Mus musculus: one gene and its partners. The protein of the gene in region 7 interacts with the protein of the main gene of each other region in a pairwise test. Links are inferred from orthologs where the notes say so. Each region holds a gene or a part of one and is shown on either strand. Other genes may lie near its edges. The genes, in order: Nck2, Arpc3, Grb2, Rnf8, Rhoj, Sdcbp and Wasl.

Region 1 (4,603 bases), on a different chromosome or scaffold from region 7:
TCCTCCAACAAGGACATACCCTCCTAATCTAAATAGTTTACTAACTGGCCTGCAAATATATGAGCCAAGGGGAGTCCTTCTTGTTCAAATCTCCCTGGAGATCTTATACAGAATCAGTGAGAGGAGTCTGAGGCCACTTTTCAAAGCAAAAGCTTAAAAACTGTGTCCATATCGTCTTACTTATTTAGCATAAACTAATTTTAAGTAGGGCTAAACTATTGGTTAGAGTTCTGCCTTCATTGTTGTAAAGCTAGATAGTAACAAAGATGAGGTCTGTAACAAAGAACGGATGAAGCTAGCATCTCCGACTGGAAGAGACTGTTGGGTGTGCTGATTTTGTACAGGATGCCTCCTAGTGCCCTCGTGTCAGGCTACGTGCCAGGTACTTAACATAGAAGGCAGGTAAACATCTCATGTGATAAAGCCGAGGAAGTTGTGAAACACCTGTGTAAGGTGACACAGTTCAGGAGCCTACGGTCAATGGCTGCGAGGACTATAGCCAAGCTTCCTCACGTTACTTATGCCTGGGAACTTCCTATAAGAAGGCAGGCAACTTTTCTTTCTTTCTTTTTCTTTTTTTGTTACGTAGGGTGAATTGTTTCTGCCTTAATAAGGAGGAAACAAGGGCTAGGGTTGAATCTCATTAACATAAATGTGAGTCGTCCGACCTGAAAGCGGAATTTATTTGAATATCAGGGGTTCCTTTGGGGTATAAGGAGCGAAGGAGCTTGGAGAAGAAACCTCTGGATCCAGTCCTTCTCTTCGATCCAGGGTTCTAGCTTTCCAAGTTTGCTTATAGGTTAGCTACTACTCAAGTCTGGGAGAGCAAGGTTTCCTTCTAAAGCTTTCTCAGCCTCCTGTACTAAAGAATTCCTGGGCTCTAATAAACTGGCCAGGACGCTGCGGAGGCAGCTGAGGTCGGGTTTCCTCTCCTCCCCCACTAGGAAGTGGTCCCGCCTGGAGGTTGGGGGTGGGGGGGATGGAGTAAAAAAGTGTCTGGATGGGAAAGTAAATAAATGCAAGGCAAATAAATAAAGAAAATGCCCACAAGCAATTACTGGGAGGAAGTGACATTTTTATGTAAGTCACTTTTCTGACAGACACCAGGCCTGTTTGGCTGAGAGTGCCGTGGGAATGCTTGGGGGGCGGGGTAGGGAGGTCGCTGTAAGGCTCCCGACGCACAGCCGGGTGCGGAGACCACCCGGTCTCGTGGGCTGCAAGTGGCACCTCCTTATCCCTAGCAGCCCCTCCCGGGTGCCCCCAGCTCCAATCTAGAGCGGGTTACGGCTTGAAGCCCCCAGGCGGCGCTTTCCCGAGGCCTGGCTGGGACTCCCAGGTGGGTCCCCCGCCCCGCGTGCGCCGGGCTGGGCCGGCCCCTGGGCGGCGTCACGGCAGCCAGGGAGGAGCGCGGGCGGGGAGCGCGCGGAGGCGGGCGCTGCGCGGGAGGGTCGCCGCCGCGGATCGCAGGCCGGTGCGCGCGGCCGAGCGGGCGGCGGCGGCGACGGTGGTGGTGAGGAGGGCTCGGCGGCAGGCAGGCTCGGGGCTCCCGGGCCGGCGGGGTCCGCCGGGTCCAATTGCGTCCGCTTGGTGGCGGGAGGAGGGAGCGGTGCAGACAAAGAGCGGCATCTGGGCGGGCGCAGCGCGGCCGCCGCCCCGGGACTCGCGCTGCTGCCCTCCGGCCTCGGCGTGCACTGTGCGGCGAGGTAAGGCGATGGCGGGGGCTGCAAACTTGGGCCGGTCCGTGGAGTTGGAAGAGAGGGGCGAGCGGGCCGCGGCCGCCCGGGGAGGGCCAGGGAGCGCGTACCCCTGCGTACCCGGCCGGTGCCCTCAGCCCCGCCGCGGCCTGGCGTCCCCGGGCACCCGCACCTCGGATACACACACCTTCCTGCGAGCCCTCGCCTCCCTCTGCCTGGGGCTGGCGTGGGGGTGGGGCGCCCTCCGCGGGCGGACTCCGGGGACCAAGGACCCAAAGCCCTCGGGAACACTAGCAGCCCTGGCCTGTGGGCGGGCGTGGGACCGAACAGTGGCCAGGTCGCCGGGCGCGCGTGCCTGGGAAGAATAGCCTGGGATCTGAGGGCCACAGCGCTAGGAAGCGGGAGGCTGCGATGGCCGGGGAGAACTTCCAGTATTTAGAACTATTCGTGATCCGGCACAAAGCTGCTGTCACGTTCCATAAAGGAGGTCCTTGCCTCGGCGCAGGGCGCTTTTGTGCCTGGTTCCTTCCAGTCCCTGCGCCCGGTCCCGCATTTCCAAGACTTAAACCTCCTCAACCAAAGTTTTTCCCGGTTGCTCTGCCCCCTCAGTTTATTTATTCAGGGCGATTTAAGCAAGTGGTTCTGCAAGAATTTGATGTGTGACTTTTAATGCCCCGGTGGCACCTCCCTTTTGAGCGCTGTTAGCTTGGCATTGTGTGGAGAGGTTTGATTTGCAAAACGCTGTTATTTATACACAACAGCGATCCTCCCGGAAGGTGTGCGCGGGTGGTGGTTAATGGATAGCAGAGGTGACTTACAGTAGTATTGTGAACAGCTTGGGGACACAGCTGGGTGCCAAGTGGAGTGGGCCCTGCCACCCTAACCCATTCAGGTTGGCCGCTTCCTCCTTATTTGGCTCTCCTTATTTTGCTAACAGGTTTAAGGCCAGTCTTGCCAAGTTTGCGTCTGTGTGTGGGATGAACAGGTCCGAGTTTGGGCTGGAGGTGCACAGGCCTGCTCCTTGGTTGACCCAAAAAGAAACAGCCCGTTGGCCAGTGGGCGTGGCTTGCTGGTATCCTCCCCTGGAGACTTCTCTGCTCCTCTCCCAATACAGGCTTTTCTGCAGAGATTTTGAGGAGGAATGAGAATAATTTTGGGTGTGTTTCCAGCCTGGGTTTTTTTTTTTTTTTTTTTTTTTGGTATAGTTAGCAACTGTGGTTTTTCTAGTCTAAAGGTCACTACTTTATCAGAACATCTCAACTGTGCTGTGGGCACTCCCTCCATTCACTTTCCAAGTGTTTATAGATACAGAGGTAGAAACCGGACTTTCTCGTGCATGTGCCTGGTTTATGTAGCGAAGGCAGCCAGTGAACACAATGGAGAAAGTGCACTTTAGACAGATAAGGTTTTACACCTTCGGGTCTTTCCTAAGTGACCACAAGTGACAATCCTCCCTTAAACTTTCTCACCTCCTGGTAGGTTAGCGTAGTTTTGATTGAAGAACGTAAAGGTCCCAGTGACCTGAAGCTGAAATGAGAACTTTGTGCAGCTGTAAAGCTTTGACTTACAGCTTACTGCCTGTCTTGCTCTCAGTTTCTTACACGTGCTTGAACAGAGCCCCAGTTTCAGGGTTGGAAGTTGCTATGTGAGCTCTGGACACTTGATAGGCGATTTGCCCACCGATGGAGAGACGACTGACCCCCTTTAAAATGGGTCGAACTTATAAAAGGTGGTTTCCAACTCCTTGTAGGCTCTTCAGTCCATTTCCAGGCTTTCAGTTTTGCTTTCCCCATGGGTCCTTGCTTCAGTCTTCTTCCTCCCTTTCTCTTTGATCCGGGCTTATTCCTGACCTCTGTCTTGAACATTGGGGTACTGAACATTGCTGACAAACAGCAGCACCCAGGTGTTTGAGAAATGTGCTCTCATCCTTGCTAAATCTCTCCAGAGCTTTCCTTGTTGGAGCAGACCGAATGACCCCTTGAAAACAGCCCGATAGTCACTGATTGCATAGTGACCTGTAGTCCTTTATTTGATCATTTGCATTAGCTTAATTTGCCCTGGCAAGACTGGGCTTGGTTGCTTTGTAGGGCACACATGCTTCTAACTGACTGGCTTGCAGTGTGCACTGGGGCTGATGAGGCTCGTGGAAATGATTTTCTGATGTTCATAATGAGCCTTAATGACTGAAGAATTCAAGACTGCTTGTTGCAAGTGCAGAGCAGTGTAGGGAACAGTGGTTGGGGAAACTTGTAAGCTAACATTTCTTACAAAAGGACCGGGAAGCTTCCCATAGAGACTTAGGAAATTCATTTTCCCATCCAGAGGGACTTCAAATGTTGCTTTGGAATTGTTTCTCTTTCCTAAAAAAATGAGTGATAGAAACATTTCTCAAGGTGTTTTCAAAGGACATATGTGAAAAAACAATGATGCCATTTGTGTGCTGTTCTGTGTAAGTTAGGCAGCCTTTTAAAACAAGCTATCAGAGGTATGCAGCCATGGTGTTTTTTGTTTTTTTTTTGTTTGTTTGTTTGTTTGTTTGTTTTTTCGAGACAGGGTTTCTCTGTGTAGCCCTGGCTGTCCTGGAACTCACTTTGTAGACCAGGCTGGCCTCGAACTCAGAAATCCGCCTGCCTCTGCCTCCCGAGTGCTGGGATTAAAGCCGTGCAACACCACGCCCCGCAATGCATTTCTTTAGGCAATCAGAGTAGTGTAATTTTTAAAAAGACTTTTAATTTTCAGCAATTCACTTTGCACAAAGCACAGAGAACATGATGGTAAGAGAATCATGTCCTCGGCACCCCAGTTCCCACCCCACTTCCCGCCCTTTCTTTCCCCTGGAGTTCACTTCCACCTGAAATTCTCAGTCCTCCAGGCCATGACAGTGAAAACTGTTCTTTAGATCGACATAG
Region 2 (4,505 bases), on a different chromosome or scaffold from region 7:
GGCTTTGAAATCTGCCACTTCCTGTCCTTATGACCACAGGTCGATTCTTCCTGGAACCTGTTTCCCCACCCCCACCCCCTTCAACCACAACAGGTAGCCCAGGCTGGCCTCTCACTTACTATGCAGGTAGCCCAGGCTGGCCTCTCACTTACTATGCAGGTAGCCCAGGCTGGCCTCTCACTTACTATGCAGGTTAGCCCAGGCTGGCCTCTCACTTACTATGCAGGTTAGCCCAGGCTGGCCTCTCACTTACTTCACAGGGGACGATGACTTTGAACTTCTTACGCTCCTGCCTCTGTCTCCCATTGCTGGGATGATGGATCTAGATAACCACAGTACTGGCGAGTAAACCTAGTGCTTCAGACATGACAGGCGAATGCTCTACCAACTCAACTCTACTCCAGTTCCCACCAGTCTGCTTCTAAACTTATAAATGAGCAAGATACACCACACCTTTGGTGAGTGCGTATGAGCTAAAGGAGAGGGAACTGTGTGGATGAACAATCTCAAATGCTGGTCCTATGATTTCGAACTCAGAAATCTGCCTGCCTCTGCCTCCCAAGTGCTGAGATTAAATGTGCATGCTACCAACTGCTCAGCGTGATTTTTTTTTTAAAGATTAAAAAATATCTTATAGCCGGGCGTGGTGGCGCATGCCTTTAATCCCAGCACTCGGAGGCAGAGGCAGGTGGATTTCTGAGTTCGAGGCCAGCCTGGTCTACAGAGTGAGTTCCTGGACAGCCAGGGCTACACAGAGAAACCCTGTCTCAAAAAAACAAAAACAAAACAAAACAAAAAATATATTATGTGTGTGCACTATATCTGTGGACGGGTATTTCTGTGTGTATGCAGTACCCACAGAGTCCAGCAGATGGTGCTGGGGTCCCTGGAGCTGGACTTATAGGCAGCTGGCACCTGCTGGATGTGGATGCTGGGGACAAAACTCCAGTGCTCTTAAAGGGTAGTTTGAGAATGCTGGGAATTTCCCTCCATTAATGGTAAACAACCCTTCAAAAGCCAATATTCTATAAATCTGCCCCACCTACTAAAAACTTTCATGCCACATCATTTTTAGAAAACTGTATGCCTACATACTAGAAGAGGGCATCAGATCCGATTATAGGTAGTAAATTGCCCTGTGGGTGCTAGTAACTGAACTCAAGACCTCTGGAAGACAGTGTCATCCGGAGATGCGGGGGCTCATTTGGACAGTAACTCTGGGTCTTCACATATACTAACTATAGGAATCATGAATCTTCCAAAGCCAAACACGGTGATGCCGGACGGGCTTGTCATCCTGGCTACCTAGGAGGCTGAGGCAGGAGGATCACAACTACAAGGCCAGTCTGGGCAATTTTATAAGACCCCTTTTCAAAAGTAAAAAAGATGGGGGAATACTGCTCAGTGGTAGAGCATCTATGTAGCATGCCATGAGGCCCTGGGGTCAATTCCCCACTGCTACTCAAACACATGCACACTGTTCAAAGTTAGGCTTGCTCTCCTACTCATTATAAATAAGCCTTATTTATGCCAGCCTCTTGCCCACATCCCCGGGTCCCCTGTTCTCCCAATCCCTGTCACCAGGTACTGGTTTTTGTTTTTAGTTTTATTTTGCACATGACCATGCATGTGTACATGTGTGTGTGTGTGTGTGTGTGTGTGTGTGTAGTGTTCATGTTCACGTGTGTGCATATGTGTGCATGTAGGTATGTATGCTCATATCCACAGGTGGAGGCCATAGGTCTGTTTCTTAACTGCTTTCCACTTTATTTTTGAGACAAGGAGCCTCAGGGAACTCTACACATCCCCAGCTCCGAAACTGCAGACACGCTTTGCATGCCCTCCCCCCGCCCCTTCTGTTTTACTTGGGTGCTAAGCATCCAGACTCAGGTCCTCTCATTTGTACCACTGAGACACCTCCTCAGCCCCTACTATCTCTCTCTATATATATATTTATTTCCTGTGACATCGTCTTTCATTGAACCCAGAACTTGCTTATTTTTGGCTGGGCTGGCTGGCCAATAAGCCAGAAGATCTGCCTGTCCTTTGCCTCCCCAGAGCTGGGGTCACAGGCATGAGCTGCTGTACCTTGTGACCCCACCTCCTGCATGCAAGCCTCTTTTTTTTTTTTTTTCTTCCCCCATTTCTTGGGAGACAGGCTTTGCAGTTCTGTAGCCCAGGATGGCCTAGAACTCACTACATAGTCCACATTGGCCTGAACTTTGCCATCCTCCTGCCTCGGTATTGGGATGAGCGATAACTGAGCGATAGGGGTAGGCTAACTGCCATCTATCTGTTTTCGTCACAGCAGTTGTTAAGATAGGAAACTACTTCCTATGTGCATTTGCATGGTTACTGTCTACCCGTTAAACTGTGAGCTCCTTGAGTGGCCCTTAGTCGCTGCTGTCAACAATGCTGGCTTCACAGCGAGAGGTCAGTAACACTGGTTCAGTGTGGGTGCACGCTATTCAAGCGTCCCTTCGCTAAGCTGCAATCGGCATCAATTTCCTCCCACTCGGATGCACACGAAAAAGGAAACCAGCGCTGGCTCGGTGGTGGTCAGGGAGTCGGGTGGGAGTCAGAGCAGGGAGACGGAGGAAGGGGTCCATCAGGGAAGTGAGGTCTGACAGGTGACTAGGTAGCAGGCCGATCCCACTCCCTGGGGTGGAGGAGGAAGTGGAAATGACAAGGGGGAAATTTAAAAAAAAAAAAAAAAAAAAGGAGAAGCTGGACCTTAGACTTAAAAATAAATTAAAAGCCAGCCATCGTTCTTAGGTTCGAGGCTCTAGGGTGGGATCTGGGAACACGGCAGGGTTAGGGGGGAAGCGGCGGGGCAGGCGAGCCGGTGTTGGAGGCAAAGGCTGGAGATCAGGGCGGACGCTTCCTCTCTCCCCGGCCTTATGACACAGATCTCCTGCCACCCCTCGGACCCTCGCCCCGCTCGGCTCCCCGCCCCTGGGGCTCGAATGCTTACCGGCATCTTGACGGTGTCCGGATTCGATCCAGAGAAGCCGAACTCAGAAAGCGTTTCCGACGACCGAGCCTGGGTGGAGTGGGCGGAAGTAAGCCGGAAGAGGCGGGCGGAAGGAATAAACGCACTTCCGGTGACTTGCTCCGGCTGCGCTGACCGCAAGTGACGCCAGGGGGCGCGTCAGCGTGAGGCGATGACCGTGGCGCATGCATAAAGCACGTTCAGAATAAAAGGCTGGATTTTGAAATTGAAGACTCCCTCGCAAGTGGTTAATAATCAGCTCCCGGTTTTGTTTTTTGGGTTTTTTTTCTCATTTCCCGGCTTCAGCTTCAAATCCAGTACCACTCAGTCGCCTGATTTACCCTTCTGCTATGTCTAGTTTTTTACTTTTTTTTTTTTTTTTTTGGTTTTTCGAGACAGGGTTTCTCTGTGTAGCCCTGGCTGTCCTGGAACTCACTCTGTAGACCAGGCTGGCCTCTAACTCAGAAATCCGCCTGCCTCTGCCTCCCGAGTGCCGGGATTAAAGGCGTGCGCCACCACACCTGGCTTAGTTTTGTACTTTTACCACAATGCAAGGTGGGGGACATCAGTTCTCACTTTCCACCGTGATACTCTCGGAACCAACACAGTCTTCAGAAACACCTACACCCTGAGCCGTCTTGGCGGCCAATATTTTTTATTTTTCAATTTTTTCTTTGCTAAGAGTCGCATGAAGTCCAGGCTGGCATATACATATAAATGAATATGAACTGATCTGCACCCACTTGTGTTCAGGAATTACAGATATGTGCCCATCACTCCTGTTATTTTTATTTATTTTTCTTGCTTAGTTTTATGATGCCGACGGTGGTGTCTATCTTCCTTGTCATGTTAAGACAGTCAGGGACCACCACAGGGGTAAAGGAAAGAAAAGTCCTGAGCCTACCCCTTTGACCTGTCTGTCACCCACTAAATGTGTATATCATTTCTACTCTTTCAACAAGGTATGGTGTATGTCTTCCCAGATCATGGCAAGGACTAAGTGGTCATGAAAACCAAGCATATTATAAGGGCCTGAGTGATGCCACATGTCTGAGGGGATGACTACAAACCCACCACTGACACCCATCATATATGTATGTAAGTATGTATTTTGCCTCTCTGGGTAGCCCTGGCTAGTCTGAAACTTGCTTTGTAGACCAGGCTGGCCTTGAACTCTTGAGATCCACCTGCCTTGCCTCCCAAGTACTGAGACTGAGGGGATATGTAACCACCATACCCAGCCAACCACTTTTTGTTTTTGGACAAGGTATTAACTATGTAGCCCAGGCTGGTCTCTACAATGTCTGGCTTATACTCCCTGTTCTTTGTATGACTGCTGAGGAGCCAGGTCCTGGGGTTGAATCCTAGTTCCAACATGACTAGCTGTGTTATTCTGAGCAACTTAATGTACCTCTCTGTGCCTCTGTTCCTCACCTAAATATAGAGGCCTCAGTATTTACCTCATTGCTTAGGGAGGCTGAAATGAGCTACAAGAAAAGTATTTAGAACTAAC
Region 3 (3,897 bases), on a different chromosome or scaffold from region 7:
CTCCTGGGAAGCATGAGTTGGGTCCAGGTGAACACCAGGAGTGGAGATGCGCACGTGGTCACCGTAAGTGCAGCAGAAACTGCAGTGAAGGCAGGGCGGGTGAGGAGTGGGGCTAAGCCGCCTCGAGTGCTGCCAGCTCCCCCAGGTTCATGACACTTCAAACCTAAAACCTCAGATCTGCTACAACTAGGCCTTAGAGCAAACACTAGGATTTCCACAGGAAAAGATGTGTTAACATCTTCCCCACAGCCTTACAATCCAGTCAAAGGCAGCAGCTTCTCTGGCAAGGCCAGCAGGAAACACTTACTTGACGGACAGGGAGAAGTCCCCAGGAGCGCTCTCGCTCTCTCGGATCAGGAAGGCCCCGTCATGCCGCTGTTTGCTGAGCATTTCTTCTGCCTTGGCTCTGGGGATTTTGCCAAAAAACCACCTAAGGAAGGAAGGCAAGCTGGTCACCATCTGCTTCCCCACAAAGAGACGGGATGTACAACCTGGCATGTAAATGAGAGCGCTCCTGTAGTGAGTGCTTGTCAGAGACAGAGGGGAGCTCTTTACCTGCGGGTCTCCTGCCTAAGGCTCCCTGGGGCTCTTACCTGGCTCAGGGCCTTCCTGAGAGATGGAGCTTTCAAACAGCTTCGCTTACTCCACACTCTAGATCATAATTCAAGGCAGCAACACAGGCCACTCTTCAGTCTCCAAGGAGACCATTCCCAACATGCAGTCTGAAAGCCAGTTTCTGAGGACAAAGCCCTCCTGCCTCTCACTCATCAGGAGGGACCTAGGAAAGCCCTGACACCCAAGATAAGGGCAGAGGGAAGACAGGCCTTTCAAAGCCATTTCATAATAGGAGTGCAGGGAAAGGCTGGGAAGGCCTACAACTTCGCAGCTGTAGAAGGGTGGATTCTGCAAAAGCAAGAAGGGAGGCTTGCATTGTGAGGAATTAGAGTCTAGGTTGTGGCAGTGATGCACGCCTTTATCCCAGCACCCAGAAGGCAGACAAAGGTGATCTCTTTGGTTCCAGGTCAGCCTGGTCTACATAGTTTCAGGACAGCTAGAACTACACAGTGGGACTGTCTCGAAAAACCAAAGCCCATTACCTTATGGTATCTGAAAAAAAATTTTTTTAAATTATTATTTATTTTATGTATATAGTACACTGAAGCTGAACAGATGGTTGTGAGCCTTCATGTGGTTGTTTGGAATTGAATTTTTTTAGGACCTCTGCCCACCCCGGTTGCCCCCACTCACTCCAGTCAACTCCACTTGCTCAGTCCTTGCTCCTGCTTATTATACATAAGTATACTGTAGCTGTCTTCAGACATGCCACTCCTAACATTATGGGTGGTTATGAGCCACCATGTGGTTGTTGAGATTTGAACTCAGGACCTTCAGAAGAGCAGTAAGTGCTCCTACCCACTGAGCCATCTCGCCAGCCCTGGTATCTGAAAAATTTAAACATGCAATGATAACTAATCACAACAGTACCAGACTGTCTATTAGTGACAAAGCCTCATTTCATTACAGCTATTATGCCATAGGTGTATCCCACCATGCCTGGTTTTATGTGGTGCTGGGTGCTGAACCTCAGGCCTCGTGTATGCTCACCAAGAACATAACTTTCATAATCATATTTACAATTTTTTATTTCAAGCTAGAGGAACAGCTCAGCACTTACGAGTCCTGGCTTTTCGCCCCAAGGACATGGGTTCAGTTCCCAGCACCCACATACCAGCTCACAACCACCTACAAGTCCAGTTCCCGGAGAGAATGATGCCCAATTCTGGCCTCTGAAGGCCTGTGACAAAGAGACATACACATAGGTAAAACACCTATATACATAAAATAATAATGTTTTCATGGTTATTTGTTATTACTGCCACCTAAAGCTAACTTTATAATCATCTTTTCATTTTCTAAAGCCACCGTGTATCCACATGGGGGTTAGAAGACAACCCTGGGGGGTGGGGGGTGTCATTCTGTTCTGACAGCCTTTTGTGAATTCCAGGGATGAAATCCAGGTCACCTGGCTTGTGTGACAAGTGCCTTGCTTGCTGAACATCTGTGTAGCCCTACTGGGGTCTGTTAAGCTGTTCTGAGGCAGCCCTCATATGGCAGCCCATGCCATCCTACAAGTCTGTGCACCAATATGGCTGCCTCGGAATCCCACACTCCTGCTTAGCTATCTGAGAGGTGAAAATGTAAGAGGAAGCCACCAAGGCTGGTGTCTGCTTTGAATCAGGGTTTTATGTCTGGTCAACAACGGCCTACCAAGACCTGAGAATTATAGGCATTTGCCACAGGCAGAGCTCACAGCTGGCTTAATAAACAACTACCCTGCAAAGTATTTTTAAAAAAAAATTCTGCCAGATTAAAACTAAGATTCAGGCAAAGACATGAAGCTGCAGGGCAGGGTGCCCAGAGACTGCGGGAGTCTAAACACTCCCAAGTCTAGGTTTCAAATCCTTCTCACTCTGCATCTCTGATGCCACACACACCATGGAGACACCTTCCTGTTGCTACAGATGCTTAAGAATGAAGCCTACAGTGCCCAGGGAGCAGCCACACCAGGGAAATTCCCTACCAACAGACGGAATCACCTCAAAAGAGACCAGAGAAGCTTCGCTCACTCTATGGATGGTCCAGCAGCATCTAGTCATGGCCATAGGCTGATCCCCAGTGACAGCTCCCTCACCTCCACACTCACCAGGGAAGGGCAAATGTTCTCAGCACCCATCTTCCTCTCCCTTCCCCGATCACCAATCACATGCTTTATTTATTTATTTCAGGTATATGAGTACACTGTAGCTGTCTTCAGACACACCAGAAAAGGGAATTGGATACCATTGCAGATGGTTGTGAGCCACCATGTGGTTGCTGGGGTTTGAACTCAGGACCTCTGGAAGAGCAGTCGGTGCTCTCACCTGCTGAGCCATTTCTCCAGCCCAGTACATACTTTTTGTTTTGTTTTGTTTTTGTTTTTTCAAGACAGGGTTTCTCTGTGTAGCCCTAGATGTCCTGGAACTCACTTTGTAGACCAGGCTGGCCTCGAACTCAGAAATCCGCCTGCCTCTGCCTCCCGAGTGCTGGGATTAAAGGTGTGCGCCACCACGCCCGGCTCAGTACATACTTTTTAAACAATTACTCTTTTGAGAATTTCATATAATGCTTTCTGACCATATTCACCCTCTTTTCTTTAAAGCTATAAAGCAGTGGGTTTAAATTAAAGTAGCCTAAATGCACACTAAGGAAGAATAAAGAGCAGCACTTTCTCTCATGCCCCTGCCTTTCATCAGGAGTTGCTGGCTGCAGGCAGTGTGTGCATCTAGGCTTTCTTTATGGGCATCAACCCGACATTTGTGTGAGCCCCAGTGCTTTCTCATTCCCAACTTAAGAATCAACACAATTTTATTTTCAGCTTAAAATTTTAAAAATTTAATTTTAGATTTATACCTATAATTCTAGCACTGAGAAGGAAGAGGCAGGAGGATTACTGTAACTTCAAGGCCTGTCTGGGTTATATAGTGAAGCCATACTTCAAAAACTAAAATAGAACAAAAACATTAGTTTGTAAGCCATTTCACAGATCTGTGTCTGTGTGTATGCTCCAGGCTCACTAAGTATACAGTCTCGAGTTTCCAGCAGTGGGATGAACAGCAGATAGCATCCGGTCGTCGATACTCTTTCACAGGCTAGTTACAAACCTGATAAGCTTCTAAAACCTGGTCTGCAGTGCTAGAGGCAGATGCCAAGGCCTTGTGCACACTGGGCGAGTCCCTGAACACTGACTGAGCTATACTCAGAGCATGTCGGGTTTCTTTCAATGATGATAGTTATGTATGACTGCATGCCTACAGACAAATGTTCTGCTAATCTTTAAAAAAGACTGGATTGGTGTGT
Region 4 (3,897 bases), on a different chromosome or scaffold from region 7:
CTTGTTCAGCCCAGACCACTGTAAATTAACAGAGGGTGGGACTCTCTGTTTAGGGTGTCACACCATCACTGAGCAGAATTCTCTTTAAAGGATAGTGGGTTCAGAGAGGAGAGTGACTGGGATTAATATCCATGGCTACTCTGTGCTGAAGGGACAACTGCGAAGTCTTTCCTGGGACTCAAGGTTAAAGGCAGAAGAGACTGGTTGAGATGCATGCCTGACGCTGCGTGGGAGCTCAGCTCCCTCTGCCCTCACGGTAGCCTGGCCTGACATTGGGTTTGGAATTCTGCTTGGTATTAAAAACCCAACTTTTTTTAATCATTAAGTAATTTGTGCTCCCTATTAGCACATTGGAAGAATGGTTGGCTGGCACATCAAATTCCAAATGAGTTGAAATCCCCCACCCTGTAGGTAATCCCTAAGAACAGAGACTGCCTGAAAGAAGCTGGCGGAAAGGCAGCGGAGGCTCAGGCCTGGGCAGAGAGTGCTTGGAGAGGGTGGGTGGTGCAGAGGGACAAGACAGGGAAGGAGTGTGGGGCCAGCCTTGGGGATGTATCTGAGTTTGGGTGTTTGTGGCTCTGTTCTCAGACTCCATTTATTTGAGTATTATGGCAATAAAAGCAACTTAGACTGTCACCCCGTGGTGCTTCAGAGCTGCCGGAAGCCCACTCCTGAGGCGGGTGATGGTAGTGGAGCAGATAACTGCTCGCATCCCTTGCTGAGAGCAGTTTGAAGTAAACTGGGATCTTCCTGCCCGCTTCCTGCCCCATGTTCCTTGTGGTGCCGGCTCCTAGGTTTTGTTATCTTACACCCTTGACTGCAGAAACCTTCCATTTCGTTTTGGCTTTTCAGGGTTTGGAGAAAGAGCAAGGAGAGTGCGACCTGAAGCAACAGCTGGTGCAGGCCCTGCAGGAGGTAACATAATCTCTACCCTTTCCTTCCAGAGGCTGTGGTGGTTGTGAGTGGGGAGCAGCTAGGCACCACATGGCCACTAGCTGCCTCTGCCTCTGAGCCACTCATCTGTGTTACCGCCAGGCTGCAGACAGAACAGGTGCCAGGTGCTCACACCATCAGGCTGGAGATTTGGAGCTTCACAGATACACAGCAGATCTCAGCGTGGAAGCTTACGGCTTCATCAAGGCACCACCTGGTGATGACAGAAGAGCCTGTAGACGCTCTCTGGGATGGGGACTCTACTTCCAGATTAGTGAGGGCAGCAGTTAGCCATGCCTGGGCCTTAGGGCCCGAGAGAGCCTGTGTACCTCACCATTCCTACACTGTGGCATCCAGAAATCATTCAAGAGGATTCTCCTCTTAAAAAAAAAAAACCCATTAACAGAATAGTGCTTGCTCCTTCTGGTGTGAAGCTCTCCAGCAGACTGCCAGTGGTTTATTTCACTGAACCCTAGTGTTGGGGCCGGCCAGCAGCTCACGTGTCCGGGTTCGAGCCTGAAAGGCATCTTGGAATCTGGAAGAAAAGAGGGAGCCTAGGCGGATTGAGAAATAATGGAACCAAGACAACTATTCTGCTCAAATTTGAACTAGGTTCAAATTTTTAATGGTGGACAAGCTTTATAAAAGACTGGGGAAAGTCCATTCCCGCCAATTCATCCTTGGAGCCTGGAACCAGCTGCAGGTGATGATGTGAGGGATAGGGCGTAGTCTAATAGCTGCGGGGCCTCTCAGCTGGTAGCAGTATCTTGAAGAGGAACAGCGACTGTGGCTCAACAGTCGAGTGATCTAGGGAGGAAGGCTCCACCCTAGATAATCTCCCTAATGGCTGCAAGGTCAGGTTCTGGCTCAGCCTGCTTCAGGTTTATGGGAGGCTACATCCTAGGGCTTGACAGCCTTTTATGTGCTCCTTATACCTTTAAATCTTCCTTCAGCTGGTTATGGAAGCACACACCTTTAACCTCAGTACTCGGAGGCAGAGGCAGGTACATCTCTTGAGTTCAAGGCCAGCCAGGTCTACATAGTGAGACCCTGACTCAAAAAACAACAAAAACTTGCTTCATCTCTGAGCTTTGTGATCAGTAATTTGGTGGATTTTCGGCCGAAAGGTTAGTGAGATGGTTAAAGTCTCATTGAGCACAGTGAGCGGCTTACATATAATTTGTTCAGGGTTCTCTCTGTTTGCTCATTACAGACCTGTCAGCCTTATCGGTACTAACAGTTATGTGAGAGGGAACCTGCCTAGATTTGCTTGTGGGCAGATGCATAAATGGCTTCAGAAATAATTAGGTGAAAATTCTATTTGGATTTTATTTATTTATTTATTTATTTATTTATTATATGCAAGTACACTGTAGCTGTCCTCAGACACTCCTGAAGAGGGAGTCAGATCTCGTTACGAGATGGTTGTGAGCCACCATGTGGTTGCTGGGATTTGAACTCCTGACCTTTGGAAGAGCAGTCGGGTGCTCTTACCCACTGAGCCATCTCACCAGCCCTGGATTTTATTTTTTAAACTTATCTACTTCATGGGTTGAAAGGATAGGCATTGTTCCCATTTGAGTATTTAAATATATGTTTATTTTACTGTCTGTGTGTGTGTGTGTGTGTGTGTGTGTACAAGCATTCACATGGCACTGGAGACTTGGTTGCCAGCACTCAGACAGCTTACAGCCCCTTTAACTCCAGCTTCCGGAGACTGGATACGGTTTTCTTCCTCCCAGGTCGTGTGAACACAGATGGCTTATACTCATACACACACAGTAAATAAAGACATTGTGTGTGACCACGGGTGCTTGTGTACCACAGTATGTGTGACGGGAGCTTTGGGGAGTGGGTTTCCCCCTTCTCCATATGGACTCCAGAAGTCAAACTCAGGTCTGCAGGCTGCACTGCAAACACCTTTACCCAATGAGCCAGCACACTGGCTTCCTAGTGGGTTTTTTTTGTTTTGTTTTTTTCTAGACAGGGTTTCTCTGTGGAGCCCTGGCTATCCTGGAACTCACTTTGTAGACCAGGCTGACCTCGAACTCAGAAATCCGCCTGTCTCTGCCTCTCAAGTGCTGGGATTAAAGGCATGTGCCAACACTGCCCAGCGCTTTCTAGTGTTTTTAAACTACTGCTTAGATGCTTTGAAACTGGCCAGAAAGTCAGGCTTTGCCCCTCTGTGAGGAAGGCCTGGGGTTTTGTGCTCCCTTGTAGCACACCGCACCTGTCTCGAGGCTTGGTCATGCAGTCACGCATCAGTCTGAAGTGGTATCGGGCATACTTTCTGACCTTGTCTGACATCGTGCTTGTGCTGGTGTGGATGACCCCTCTGAAGATACTCTCTTTTTCAGACTGCTAGAACTGTAGAACCCATAGTCACAGTGACACCACTGCTGGCTCTTGGGCGTGCCAGCTCGTAGACGACAGTGGCTGGTCTAATCGATCTGCTGTCCCCTCTCCCCTGTCCTGAGCCGTCCATCCTGAATAAAAGAAGGCTGGTTTTGAAATTGTCATCACTGGTCCCTAAAGTAAAGCGACCGAGCAGAGGGAGGAAGCAAAGGTGTATGGCTAACAAGAGGGTTGGGACGCAGCTCATCCTGATGGCTTACCTGCTCTTTCTGTAGCATCAGGCTCTAATGGAAGAACTAAATTGCAGCAAGAAGGACTTTGAGAAAATCATTCAAGCCAAGAACAAAGAATTGGAGCAGACCAAGGTACGGGATGGAGGACAGAGTGCAGTGCCTGTGGCCCAGCATTCTGTAGAGTGCGTGGTTGCTGTGGTGAATGCAGACGGTGTTCCTTACCTCTGGGAGATAATCTATAGTTACTCACTGTGAGGCAGCATCCCTGTCCTTCTTTGGACCCTGCATGCTAGCCTTTGTCTAGGGCGGAGTCTCCATTCGAAGCTGTCTGTCTCCCCATCAGATCAGTAGAATTCTTAAGTTATATGTTGCAAAC
Region 5 (3,897 bases), on a different chromosome or scaffold from region 7:
ATATGTCTGAGCATCTGTCCTGGTGTTTGATAGAATACAGGGTTCTCCTTTCTTTCACACCTTCGGTCACCCTCTCCCACCCTTCCATCACCCTCATTTCAACCTGGGTTCCGATGAGCACATAAGGCACATGAGGCATGCAGTCCTTCAGTTCCGGGACCCACTCCTCCTGAACGTTGTGGTAAGAGGCTGGGTTTACGACAGAGAAGCAGATGAGAAACACATCTGTGTTGGGGTAAGAGAGTGGCCGCAGCTGGTTGTAATCCTCCTGTGGGAAGAACAGAGGAGCGTTAGCGCAGGTTGCTTGCAGAGCCTCTGTGTGGTTCTTGGGACTCTTGCAGGGAAAGACCACAGTAGCAGCGGCTGTGCTCATCACACATTGCCCATTTCCAATCAACTTAAAAAGACTCAACCAGCTTGATTGGGGTAAAATTTATACATACAAATTTTACATCATAATGTCTACCCACTCCTTTATAATTATCTGTATATTAGTTTAAGGTCTAGCCATCATGTTTTGTTACACCACAGATAGGGGGAGTTAGCAAATCCATCTCCTCACAGAGTTATTGATTTTTAACGATGAAAACACATAAAATCGCCTCCCAACACATAACCATTACATAACCACACCTTCCTTCCAGCTGTATGTGAATGGTAGCTTCTAGAATTTATCATTCCTGCCTAATGGTAACTTTGTGCTTTGACCGATATCTCCCCACTTCCTGCCCCTCCAGCAACAACCTGTCTACTGTGCTTCTGTGTCTTCAGAAACTCCCCCACGTAGACAGTACAAGGAGGGATAAAGGTCTCCCGGGACACTGGTGTTGCATTGTCTGGAACATGTATTTAAATTAGTGGGTCATTGGCCCACGAATATCTTCAACAATTAAACATTGTTTTTAAATTGAACACAGAGAGTAAGCTAAAGTACAAAACAAGTATTGTTGCCAAATGAGATTACCTCTGTTGAAGAAATATGTTTGGGACTTGTTCCTTAATGTACCCCAGTGCCACAGTGTGGTCAAGTTAAATGCCAGGTGTTTAGTGGCCAAGGAGTTTTAGGACATTCAATAAATAATCGTTCTATATTTTAATAGAATTTAGTAACACATAACCAATAGAAATAATAGTAATGTGTGCTTAAACATTTCCTCTTATATATGTGTCCATACGCTACATACATCACACAGTTAGACATGTTAATACATACATTATACATATGGGTATGTGTTGTGGAACACTGACCTCTGAGCCATTCCAAGATCATGTGATTACAGGGAAACCTTGCAAGACCGAGCCTGTCGATGAGCCCTCGGCTTTTCTGTGGGCTTTGACTTCGGTGGCTTTCTTCAGGGCCGCATGGAGAACTTTTAGAAAATCGTTACACGTGCTAAGATCCACGAGTGACGGGATCTCAGACATCACTTGTTACTCTGCCATTTTGTCTTTCCACTCAGATCATCACAAATGGATCCGGGGCCAGTTTGATTGGTTTTTCTCATCCTCTATCTATACCCTGTCCACAGCAATTAATTTTATGAGAAAGGACAACTCACCGTAAAATGTGGGATTTAGGGATTTAGGAATGTGGGATGATGAAAGATGGCTTATTGAGTGTTTAGGTTGTTCTTCCAGAGGACCCAGGTTTGATGGCCAGAAACCTACATGACAGCTCACAAAGGTCTGTAACTCCAGGGCCCTCTTCTGCACACCAGGGGCATAGACATTTAAGTACTGCACAGACAAGCCTGTAGACAAACACCCATGCAAATAAAATAATAAAATAAAATTAAAACAATTTAAAACGTGCGGTTTACAGTGACCTCTAAGCGAGCAGCTTCTGCAGCTCCTCCTCCTCCAAGAAAATCAGAATCTCTGGGGCACTGGACGTAGAAGAATCCTGTACTGATTGGTCGGGTGGAGCCTGGAGCGGAGACAGCTGATTTGTGCTTAGCACCGTCATCTTCACCACCAGAGCTCGAGTCTGGGGATCGTTACCAAGGACCAGGTGTTATTACAAGAAGTGACTGTATTATCTCCTGGAGTTCGCGCAGGAGCACTAGACAGATGGCACCCTCAGCCTTCATTTCACAGAAGAGGAGGTCAAAGTAGAGATGTCCGTAATGGACCAATGCAACCTTGAGTTATTGAATATCGAGATATGTGTGCATCCTGACCTGACTTTTGTTTGGGACTGTAATCGCCATGTCTCGGGACTTTAGACGGCAGATTAAGATTTTTTTTTTTTTAATTGGCTATCTAGGAATCTATTACTGCGGGGATGCATTCTTTTTTACAAAGTGCATTGGCCCCGAGTTGCCACAAGATGGCAGCAGACACTGTATATTTAAAATCTCAATGCTTCTGCTCCCTCTATCCCCAACAACCAAACCAAAACAATCGATTAGCCTGGATTAGCCAGGCAAGGGAAGAGCTGATAACTGGTGGTCTGACTGATAGTGTTTATTTTCTCCTTGATTTGCTAGCCATTGAATAAATGCTGCTTAGAAGATAGAGTCGGGGAGGTGAGGTGTGTTCATTTGCTCAGGTCCCCTCTGCAGGGATTTCTGGTGGTTTCAGCTTCTGGGCTTCACTGTGCTCCGGAGTCTAGATTTCTTTGCTGTAGGACTTAGTTCTGCTGTGTCAGTCTGTTTAAAAGAACTGATTACTTACTGGACGTGTGGCTCTGTCAAGGATGCTGCGGGAACTGTATAAAGGTTAAGAACCGGGAATCAAGTCAGGGAATGAGAATGAAAAGACACATATCAGTTCCACGGATGGGAACCGAGGCTTCTGCCCCCTTTAGTTGCTCTGGTAAGGCAGAGTATTTTTATCTGACCGAACTGGAAAATTCCGATGTCAAGTCCAGGCGATCCTCTACATCCGAATTCTTACACTAACTTCCAAAGGATGGTCCTCAGACCAGCAGCACAGGTATCTCTTGAGAGCTCATTAGAGTCTCAGAAATCTAAGGCTTAAGTTCCTGGGGAATCCAAGCCCCACATGCCCCAGTCAGCCTAAAACAGTTTCAGGGTCTCAGGTTATCATACTCCCTTCTTCCTGCCGTCAACCTTGCAGCTCTCAGAATCAAACATCCAACAACAGGATGGTAGAGGAAAAGTTACTTTCCACGAAGGTTTATGCCTGGCAGGTGGGAGCTTGCCACCCTTGGTTGTTGGCTGAGGCTAGGAAGTATGGCAGAAGCAGAATTAATAAAAAAGAACTTGGTGACGTCAAGAGGTTGAATCCATACCTGCTGGTGGCTTGAATGAGTTTTGTGGCGAAGTACACTTGGAGTGTAGATTATGTTACGTGTGAAGATGGTGCGATCAGCCGCGAGGAAGGGCTAAGTGGTCCTTTTGGCACTGAGGACCCTTCTACTGCATCTCTGAGTAACCGGTGCCTGGGTGTTTTCTGAAGAGATGGTGTGTTAACTCATAAAAACCACTAGATAGTGCTTTGGAGGGCCAGGATGGACACAAGAGGACTTGGGCTAAGGTAGGGTAGGTAGGAATTAGGGGCCATGTAGGTTTTTGAGTATCTGTTTTCCCTTTGCACAGAGGTGGGACAGACTGGTCAATTCCCAGGGCCCGAAAGATGTTCTTGAGCAGGTTCATCACAAAGGGACAGTGCTGGAGCCATGAAGCCATTAGCTCCCCTTGAGTTCGGATCCCTGGGAACTCATCCTCAGCTACGAGTCTGGTGCGAAGCCTAGAATGCGCATGTCTGGTAAGCGCCCAGGACCTGCTGTCTGTGTTGTAAGGAAAGCAGCGCGGAGTTCTGCCCGGTGCTTCACGCTCCAAGAGGCTGGGAGTAGAATTCTGCTTCCTTTGGTTTGTGAGCTTCCTGCCATTTATCCCAGGTTGTCGGCACCAGCTCTGGTTTCCATATTCT
Region 6 (3,897 bases), on a different chromosome or scaffold from region 7:
CCTGGACGAGTTGAACAAATATACCCTAGAGAACAAGAAAATAATTTATCGTTCATCAGTGCTATGGGTTAACTCCGGTTCCTGGGGATTTGGCATCATTTTCTGACCTCTAAGGATATCAGGCATGCATGTGCTACACAGATATATACGCAAGCCAACACTCAACAGAAACAAATAAATTATAAAAACAATTAAGTGATACTTTGGGGTAACAATTCCATAATTTTTTAAGTCAAAGACAACTTTATTCACCTCTTAACCGATGAAATTGGGGCTAAACAAACAAACAAACAAACAAGAAGTACCTCTAACAATAAACTCACAGGATATTCACATTTATGTAAATTCAATCAGGTTTTGAACCAAGCACAAATAGAAAAGAGGAAGGCTAGGGAAACCTTTCCTACAGTCTATGGTGGACCAGACATGAAGCACTATGAACAGGCAGCATCCCACTGACTTCTGCCAAGCAGGTAAACTAGAATGGTGCTAACAGACTCCAAGGCATCTCTGCTGAAATACACTGCACTCGAGCGTCAGTGAGGTCAGGACTTTATAATGTGTCTTCAACACACAATCATGCCCTCAGCTTTTTGAGTGGAAAGGCAGTGTTGGCTTTTCCTGCCTTCGTCAGCCTCATTCAGTTAAATAATGTAATACTTATTTTCTATGTGGAAAGCTGGAATCACTGAGCTAAGGAACATTTATTAGACTGAAAGAGAATCCAGTAAGATAATGGTGGAGGAGGAAGAGGAGAAGGAGGAGGGAGAAGAGGAGGAGAAAGAGGAGGAGGAGGAGAAAGAGGAGGAGGAGGAAGAAAAAGAAAAGAAGAGAAAAGAAAATGATAAATTGAGGTAAAGACCCAGCACGTCGTTAACCTTTTAGGATGTTGTCTGAGGAACTGGTTTCATGTCTTTAGTGTGACAAGGGAGGGATTCACAGACTCAATCACTAAGACCTGTTCATAATTTAAGTTCAAAGTTTATGGACAGAGATAACTTGCAGAACCATCTCATAAATGATTATCACTTAGTTTAAAAGTGTACCCCCAATTCTCACTGGTCCATTTCCCTTTACTTTCCCACATGCTGGCTCATGTGAGGGCCCGAGTCTGATCACACACACTCTTCCACATGGTTCTATAAGCAAATGGCATCCTTGCAGTAAGGAGGATCAAGAGAAAAGCTTGGTGTCTGCCTGCAAGTTCCAGCATGGCTTCGTCTAGCCGGTGTCTCCAAGTGAAAACTCTGGATTCACACTATTATTCCCCACTGTAGATGGGTTATTACAGCTAGCCAAACTATTTTCATTTTAATGATTTGACACTAATATTCTGTGATCTATTTAGATAAATTCAAAAATATACTTACATTATCTATTGACTTAAGTCTGAGCCCAATTTTTCCATCTTGATCCTTACACAAAATAACTTCACGGATCCCTTGCTTAATTTCTGCTCTCCGAATTCCAGCATCGTTACCTGTCACAGGTGCTACCATATAGTTCACACTGGATGGTCTTGCTACCAACTGCTAAGAAAAATACAAATTTGACAGTATTTAGAAACACAGCAATTAACTGGAACACACTCAGTTACAGTTCTTATAAATATTGCTCCATTAACAAATTCCCTCTAGTGAAGTCTGATTCCCACAATAATGCCAGTGGTTTTCTTTCCCCCATTACCCTTGGATAGAGAAAACTCAGTGACTTGTTACTTAAGTCAACTGGTACCCCTGTGTATGGGATCTGCTGCTGAACTGCATCAGCTAGCAACCACATAAGTGACACCAGCTGTCTCAAAAGACTGCATTGCCCAACGAGGTCATGCGACCTTAGACTGGGTAAGTGCACTTCCATGAAGCTGGTGCAGCAGGGAAAGCAAGCATGAATCATTTCTCAGAAGATATTCTGTCGCCAACAACTACACTGCAGTTTGCCTTGATTTCAAACATATTTTCCTAGAACTTAAACGTCACACTAGACTTTTGCAACTTTCTTTTTTCAGGGATTTTCTGTGATATAATCATAAAATTATCAATTTAAAAATAAGTTAATATGAACAAGGCTTTAAGTCAGGAATGAAATAAAAAGACAACATAAAAACATATTAAACTGCTCTTGACAAAAATCTCCGTGTGTACACATTGGGATTAGGAAAACCGAGGCACCAAGAGCAGGGCAGTAGAACTGTGGCTGATCTCATACAGAAGGTAAGTCAGCTCCAAATGGACTCCCAAAGCCATAACTGTGGAGATCTGCACATAAAACTAGGAGAAAACGCAAGACAAATCTCTCAATGACCTTTGTATGTAAGGAGAGCTACATCCGACTTAATGAGATCCTTCACAGCCGGGGTGGGGCCCAGAGGTGGGTCGTTTGAGAACAGCCTCAAAACCTATCTCAAAACAAACAAAAAAGTTCTTCACAACAAAAGCAGCATTCACCAAACTGAAAGCAGCCCATGGAATGGGAGAAGTTATTTGAAAATCATCATGTAGTAAGTGGCAAATATCCAAATGCATAAATAACTCAAAACTCAACAGCAAAAACAGCACACTCAATTTAAAAATGGGCAAAATGCCTACATACAAGCTTTTCCCAAAGATAACAAGAGGGTGGGTGGGTGACAGATCATTTATCATTAGAGAATCACAGCCAGAGAGATGACATCACCACCCCGTGTGTCAGTGTGCTGGGAACAAGCACAAGACTGACTCCAAGTACTACCACTTCATTGTCAGACTCCATTTAATCATAGGGAAAAACAAAATTCAGGTCCCAGACCCTAGGGGAGCTGGGGACTTCCCGATAGCTGAACAGCCTCCATTAAAAGGAAGCAGCTGAAAGCGTCCAGACATCTCCAGGACAACTGCTCCATGTTGCTGGTGGGGTCAAACCAAGTTCATGTTCACAGACCCAAGAACCTCCTCCAATTGGTGAAAACTCCCTTGCTAAGCCTTTATGTCAAAATATGATTGAGCAATGGTACAGCCCGCCGCACTTCTGCTTTACGCTTTCTTCCTTTAAATATGCCCTACAACATCCTTTCAGGCTACTCAATCAGTAGTGGCTTGATTGCAATAAATTTTGTCACCTACATTAACCTGGTGCTTGAGTCAAGTTGAATTTATGTTGGATTTAAACAGACCCCTCAGCAAGTATTATCTATCAAAAAAGACAAAAGTGCTGAAAAACGCAGGGGAAGGTCTAGGGGAAGGTTTAGGAGTACCCAGCCTTTAACGTAGCCAAGATATTTTAAAATTAACTGAGGGGTGTGTGTGTGTGTGTGTGTGTGTGTGTGTGTGTTCCATCCCTGAATCCAAAGAGTTCCTGGGTGTGTGGCTGGAAGCATGCAACCCAACAAGAGCACAGAGCGGTGTAGCCCAAACTCACTGGTACAGTATACCTTCTGTATAAAGCTGTATAAAGCTGTATACCTTCTGTATAAAGCTGGGGGGAAAAACTAAGTGGAACACAAAAGCAAAAACTACACGGTATGTGAAGTGAATTATGTACTAAGTGAAATATATGCTAAGAGAAATGTGCAGAACAAATTAAGTAAACAAAACGATAGAATAAGAACAGAGTATACCACAGAGCCTTATAAATGCAGATACTTCTAAAGTAACTTCAGATTACCTTCAAAGCAAGAAATGTACAAATGGGGAGGGGACACTTGTATGATGCTCACATAAAGGGATCAAAGTATACAGACCTGGGCAAAGGAAGTCAGATACACTGAAATAATAGCTATAATTGGCTTTTTTTCTTTGTTAGAAGATAAATTTTCTATAAACATAGCAACTAGCATTTTTGTTTTCTCCATGCCTCTTTTTACTTTACTGTTGGTTGACTTTACATTTTTTACTTTAAATTTTTTAAGATTTATTTTTA
Region 7 (3,897 bases):
ATTTTATAAAATAAATGAAAAAAGATTTACTAATTAAGTAGGTTAAGACAAATTTTATTAATCTCTCTATTCTGTTTTCATACCTTTGAATACTAATTTATGTATGTGCTCGCTCTAAAAAAAATAAATCATTAATTTATCTTTTTGTTCTTAGGAAAAAAATGTTGGACAGCTTTCAACTGACTGATGAAATGCTGGTTCTCAGGGATTCAATGTCCTCTTCTTCCTTCTGCAAGTATTGCACGTATAGGCAAAACCACTCCCTACCCCCACAATATAGAAACACATAATTACAAATAAAATATAAACAAGATAAAATCATTTTTAATGTATAATAGGTTCTTGAAATATAAAAAAGAAAAAAAGAAAATCTGTATTTCAAAATAGAAAGAGTTTAAATAATTTATATTCTGAAATGTTTTATAAGAGATCACACGGTAACCTTTACATTAATAATCACATCATGCTTTGGTCTGTTTGAAGACAAGGTCTCATGATGCAGTTATCTAGGTAGCCCTCCATGTAGAGCAGGCTGGCCTCAAAGTCACAGAAATATGCCTGCTCCTCCTCCCAGGTGCTGGGTAGAGGTCATCGTCGTCCCTTGCCTGGCTCAAGGCTTTTGTCATACCAAAGTAAGCAAAGATGTAGTGACACTGGACTGAATTTGTCATCCATACATTCAAAGATTCTGCTCAAGGAGGGGTGCATAGTTGTTCACCATGATGCTAATCTTAGAAAATTTAAAAGGAAAAACAGTCAAAATAGATCCAAAGTTACCTTGTCTTCGGAGTTCGTTTTTAACAGCTTCTACACCTCCTGTTTTTTCAATAAAGTCATAAATAACTTTTGATGTTTCTCTGTCTTTAAGCTGGGCCTCAGAGATCCCACACATATCAAAAAGATTCTTTAATTCTGGATCCAAATTATTTAGCTACAACAGATAAAACAACTTCTAAGTAGGCAATTGTGTTCAAAACAATCATGGCAAAACTTATAATTTACCTGTGTCCTTCTGAAATTAAACTCAGACTTTTAAAATGGTTATGTGATTTAAATGCTAACACTAAATTTTCTATTATGAAAGATAAACATGAGAGATTTTCTATTGTATTTCATCTCTCTTCCACGCTGTCAAAGAGGGCATTCTATTCATATTTTTATTAACCCACTCAATACCAGTTCTTGTGTTCATCTATTCCACCTCTTTGCTGTGCCCAGAGGTCCTTGGTAGTACCTCAAAGTTTAATCTCAGTTTAGAAACAAACTGGGTTATTTTATAACTAGATACTAAGAATTTGTACTTATTTTTCCAAAATTTGATATTCTTCTGAGATCATTACTTAAAAAAAAAAAAAGAAAAATCACTTTTTTCTCTATGCATTCAAAGCAGAAAATGAAGGAATACAAAAATTTTCCCTTAAAGGACTTAGCAACTATGACAGAACAATACTATGAATTCAAACCTCAGCAGCATATAGCACATTCAAATTCTAATAAGCAATATTTTAAAAACTGTAAATAAAAAAGTCCAAGATAAGCCATAGCATTCCTATATATTTTGAGCAATAGGAAATATAGCTTAAAAAGATACTTACATCAAAACCTGTATTTGGATCCCATCCAACATGCCCAATGTGCCTAACATGGAAAACAGATAAAATTAGAAAACAAATGCAGACAAGGGCTTGTGAAATAATGCATAAAGATACTTGAGATGTGCTGCATACAGCTCAATTTCTTTTGCTTCTAGACAAGTCTTACAGGTATCCTCCTGCTGATTATACATCAAAGTGGAAAAAAAATCCCTTTATTTTCAAGAATTAAATAAAAAAATAATTACATCTAATTTTTTCAGATAGAAAAGTAAACTGTCAGATTTATGACACAAGACTGGCTTGTTGTATACATATGCCTACAGACTTGGAATTCTAGGCCAGCTTGGGTGACCCAGAAGATACAACTGTCTCAAGATGTCTCCAACCATTAGAAAGGACTACACATGGGTGTTCTTCCCTGGAAGCCAGCTCCTTTGGAGTTCTTACTTTTTCCTAATCCATTCATTCTCTCTGTGCAAAATAGAAACAACAACAATAACACAAAAACCCCACCAAATTCCCAAAACAGATGAACATATACATGGTTCCCATATTTTGGATATATGTTCCCCATAGGTTCATGTATTGGAACACTCTGTTCCTAGCTGGTGGTGTCATTGGGAAGGTGGCAGAACCTTTATGAGGTAGAGCCTTGCTAGGAGCATGTATCTCTGGTGACAGACTGTTTTATAGCCCACCCCCACTTCCTGTTCTCTCTGCATCCCAATGCCAGGCGGCTCTCATACTCCTATAGCCAAGCTTCTCCATCACGATGGCTGACCTCCTCTCTAGAAAAGAAACCAAAATAAACTTACTCCTGTAAGTTGTTTTTATGTTGACTCTTCTACCACAACAACAGAAAACAAAGAACCTCGTTTTTTTATTAGATATTTTCTTTATATACATTTCAAATGCTATCCTGAAAGTTGCCTATACTCTCCCTCTACTACCCTGCTCCCCTACCCACCCACTCCCACTTCTTGGCCCTGTTATTCCCCTGTACTGGGGCATATAAAGTTTGCAATACCAAGGGTTCTCTCTTCCCAGTGATGGCCTACTAGGCCATCTTCTGCTACATATGCAGCTAGAGACACAAGCTCTGGGGTTACTGATTAGTTCATATTGTTGTTCCACCTACAGGGTTGCAGACCCCTTTAGCTCCTTGGGTGCTTTCTCTAGCTCCTCCATTGGGGGCCCTGTGTTCCATCTTATAGATGACTGTGAGCATCCACTTCTGTATTTGCCAGGTACTGGCATAGCCTCATACGAGACAGCTATAACAGAGTCCCTTCAGCAAAATCTTTCTGGCATATGCAATAGTGTCTGGGTTTGGTGGCTGATTATGGGATGGATCCCCACGTGGGGTAGTCTCCGGATAGCCCATCCTTTCATCTTAGCTCCAAACAACAAGAACCTCTTAAACCAAAATTGTATAAGAAGCTAAAAATTCAGAGCAGTCCAGAGTACACAAAAAGAATGAAGATCAAGCTGGGTGCAGTAGTGCACACCTGTAATCCCACATACTGCTCTGAAAGCTGAGGCCGAGGATCCCAAACACAAGGCCAGCCTAGGCAGTATAGCAAGATCAGTTTTTTTACTTTTTTTTTTTAAATGATGAGAACACAAAAGATGAGTCTTACTGGAAATTACTTGGTGTTCCAATATCTGCCTTGGTTAATCTCTTCTTTTTAGCTTTTCCTTTCTTCTTTTCTTTGGTGTGGGAGATGTTGTTGACTTGTGAACCATAAAATCTATTTGTTGTGATTTCTGGATTTTTTATGTCAACTGTAGCCATGGGTAGATTGGGACCTACAAAGAGAGTCAAAATGGTATGAGAGGCATATAATTTATGAAAATAATTTTATGGAATCATAACTTATAACTTACTTAACCTATGGCTGCTTACTTACAACTTAATATTAAATCTTATAAAGTACACTGATCTATATATAAAACTTAACTAAAGTGATCCTTTGTTGTTTTTTATTGTAATTCTGATAAAATGATATATATAGCAGAAAAGCTATATTTCAACCTATTTACCTATAATTTATTTAAAAAGCTATAAAATTTTTTTGCTAACACTCCCCCCCAAATTGCCAGACTTAAGTCCTCTAATCTTTTCCCAAGAGTATATATGAAAGTTGGCTATCTGAAGGCACAAAGCCTTTAATTATATAAAAATATTTAAAGTGCAAGAAATTCTAACACTGAGAACTGCAAAGATCGAATGGTAAGAGCACCTAAGGACTTTAGAGAATGTTAGTAATATCTCTAGGAGTGAAACTGAATGATGCATTCT

What was found.
Region 1: the proteins of Wasl (region 7) and Nck2 interact in binary tests that used the Homo sapiens proteins (3 or more experiments, as listed by UniProt). The two-hybrid records come from large-scale screens. The link is inferred for Mus musculus from reciprocal best matches to the Homo sapiens genes WASL and NCK2.
Region 2: the proteins of Wasl (region 7) and Arpc3 interact in binary tests that used the Homo sapiens proteins (3 or more experiments, as listed by UniProt). The two-hybrid records come from large-scale screens. The link is inferred for Mus musculus from reciprocal best matches to the Homo sapiens genes WASL and ARPC3.
Region 3: the proteins of Wasl (region 7) and Grb2 interact in binary tests that used the Homo sapiens proteins (3 or more experiments, as listed by UniProt). The link is inferred for Mus musculus from reciprocal best matches to the Homo sapiens genes WASL and GRB2.
Region 4: the proteins of Wasl (region 7) and Rnf8 interact in binary tests that used the Homo sapiens proteins (3 or more experiments, as listed by UniProt). The two-hybrid records come from large-scale screens. The link is inferred for Mus musculus from reciprocal best matches to the Homo sapiens genes WASL and RNF8.
Region 5: the proteins of Wasl (region 7) and Rhoj interact in binary tests that used the Homo sapiens proteins (3 or more experiments, as listed by UniProt). The two-hybrid records come from large-scale screens. The link is inferred for Mus musculus from reciprocal best matches to the Homo sapiens genes WASL and RHOJ.
Region 6: the proteins of Wasl (region 7) and Sdcbp interact in binary tests that used the Homo sapiens proteins (3 or more experiments, as listed by UniProt). The two-hybrid records come from large-scale screens. The link is inferred for Mus musculus from reciprocal best matches to the Homo sapiens genes WASL and SDCBP.

What each region holds. Positions count from the first base shown.
Region 1 is NC_000067.6:43,444,325-43,448,927, forward strand, and holds the start of Nck2 (cytoplasmic protein NCK2), read left to right. Parts: upstream 1-1,426; 5' UTR 1,427-1,703; intron 1,704-4,603. UniProt on the Homo sapiens protein: Adapter protein which associates with tyrosine-phosphorylated growth factor receptors or their cellular substrates. Maintains low levels of EIF2S1 phosphorylation by promoting its dephosphorylation by PP1.
Region 2 is NC_000071.6:122,390,467-122,394,971, reverse strand, and holds the start of Arpc3 (actin-related protein 2/3 complex subunit 3), read right to left. Parts: upstream 3,095-4,505; 5' UTR 2,981-3,094; coding exon 2,975-2,980; intron 2,434-2,974; exon of another isoform or gene 1,661-2,433; intron 1-1,660. UniProt on the Homo sapiens protein: Component of the Arp2/3 complex, a multiprotein complex that mediates actin polymerization upon stimulation by nucleation-promoting factor (NPF).
Region 3 is NC_000077.6:115,649,464-115,653,360, forward strand, and holds part of Grb2 (growth factor receptor-bound protein 2), read right to left. Parts: intron 431-3,897; coding exon 308-430; intron 1-307. UniProt on the Homo sapiens protein: Non-enzymatic adapter protein that plays a pivotal role in precisely regulated signaling cascades from cell surface receptors to cellular responses, including signaling transduction and gene expression.
Region 4 is NC_000083.6:29,628,108-29,632,004, forward strand, and holds part of Rnf8 (E3 ubiquitin-protein ligase RNF8), read left to right. Parts: intron 1-852; coding exon 853-915; intron 916-3,563; coding exon 3,564-3,653; intron 3,654-3,897. UniProt on the Homo sapiens protein: E3 ubiquitin-protein ligase that plays a key role in DNA damage signaling via 2 distinct roles: by mediating the 'Lys-63'-linked ubiquitination of histones H2A and H2AX and promoting the recruitment of DNA repair proteins at double-strand breaks (DSBs) sites, and by catalyzing 'Lys-48'-linked ubiquitination to remove target proteins from DNA damage sites.
Region 5 is NC_000078.6:75,388,050-75,391,946, reverse strand, and holds part of Rhoj (rho-related GTP-binding protein RhoJ), read right to left. Parts: intron 269-3,897; coding exon 104-268; intron 1-103.
Region 6 is NC_000070.6:6,382,661-6,386,557, reverse strand, and holds part of Sdcbp (syntenin-1), read right to left. Parts: intron 1,533-3,897; coding exon 1,371-1,532; intron 26-1,370; coding exon 1-25. UniProt on the Homo sapiens protein: Multifunctional adapter protein involved in diverse array of functions including trafficking of transmembrane proteins, neuro and immunomodulation, exosome biogenesis, and tumorigenesis.
Region 7 is NC_000072.6:24,623,459-24,627,355, forward strand, and holds part of Wasl (neural Wiskott-Aldrich syndrome protein), read right to left. Parts: intron 3,405-3,897; coding exon 3,236-3,404; intron 1,639-3,235; coding exon 1,596-1,638; intron 932-1,595; coding exon 778-931; intron 1-777. UniProt on the Homo sapiens protein: Regulates actin polymerization by stimulating the actin-nucleating activity of the Arp2/3 complex. Involved in various processes, such as mitosis and cytokinesis, via its role in the regulation of actin polymerization.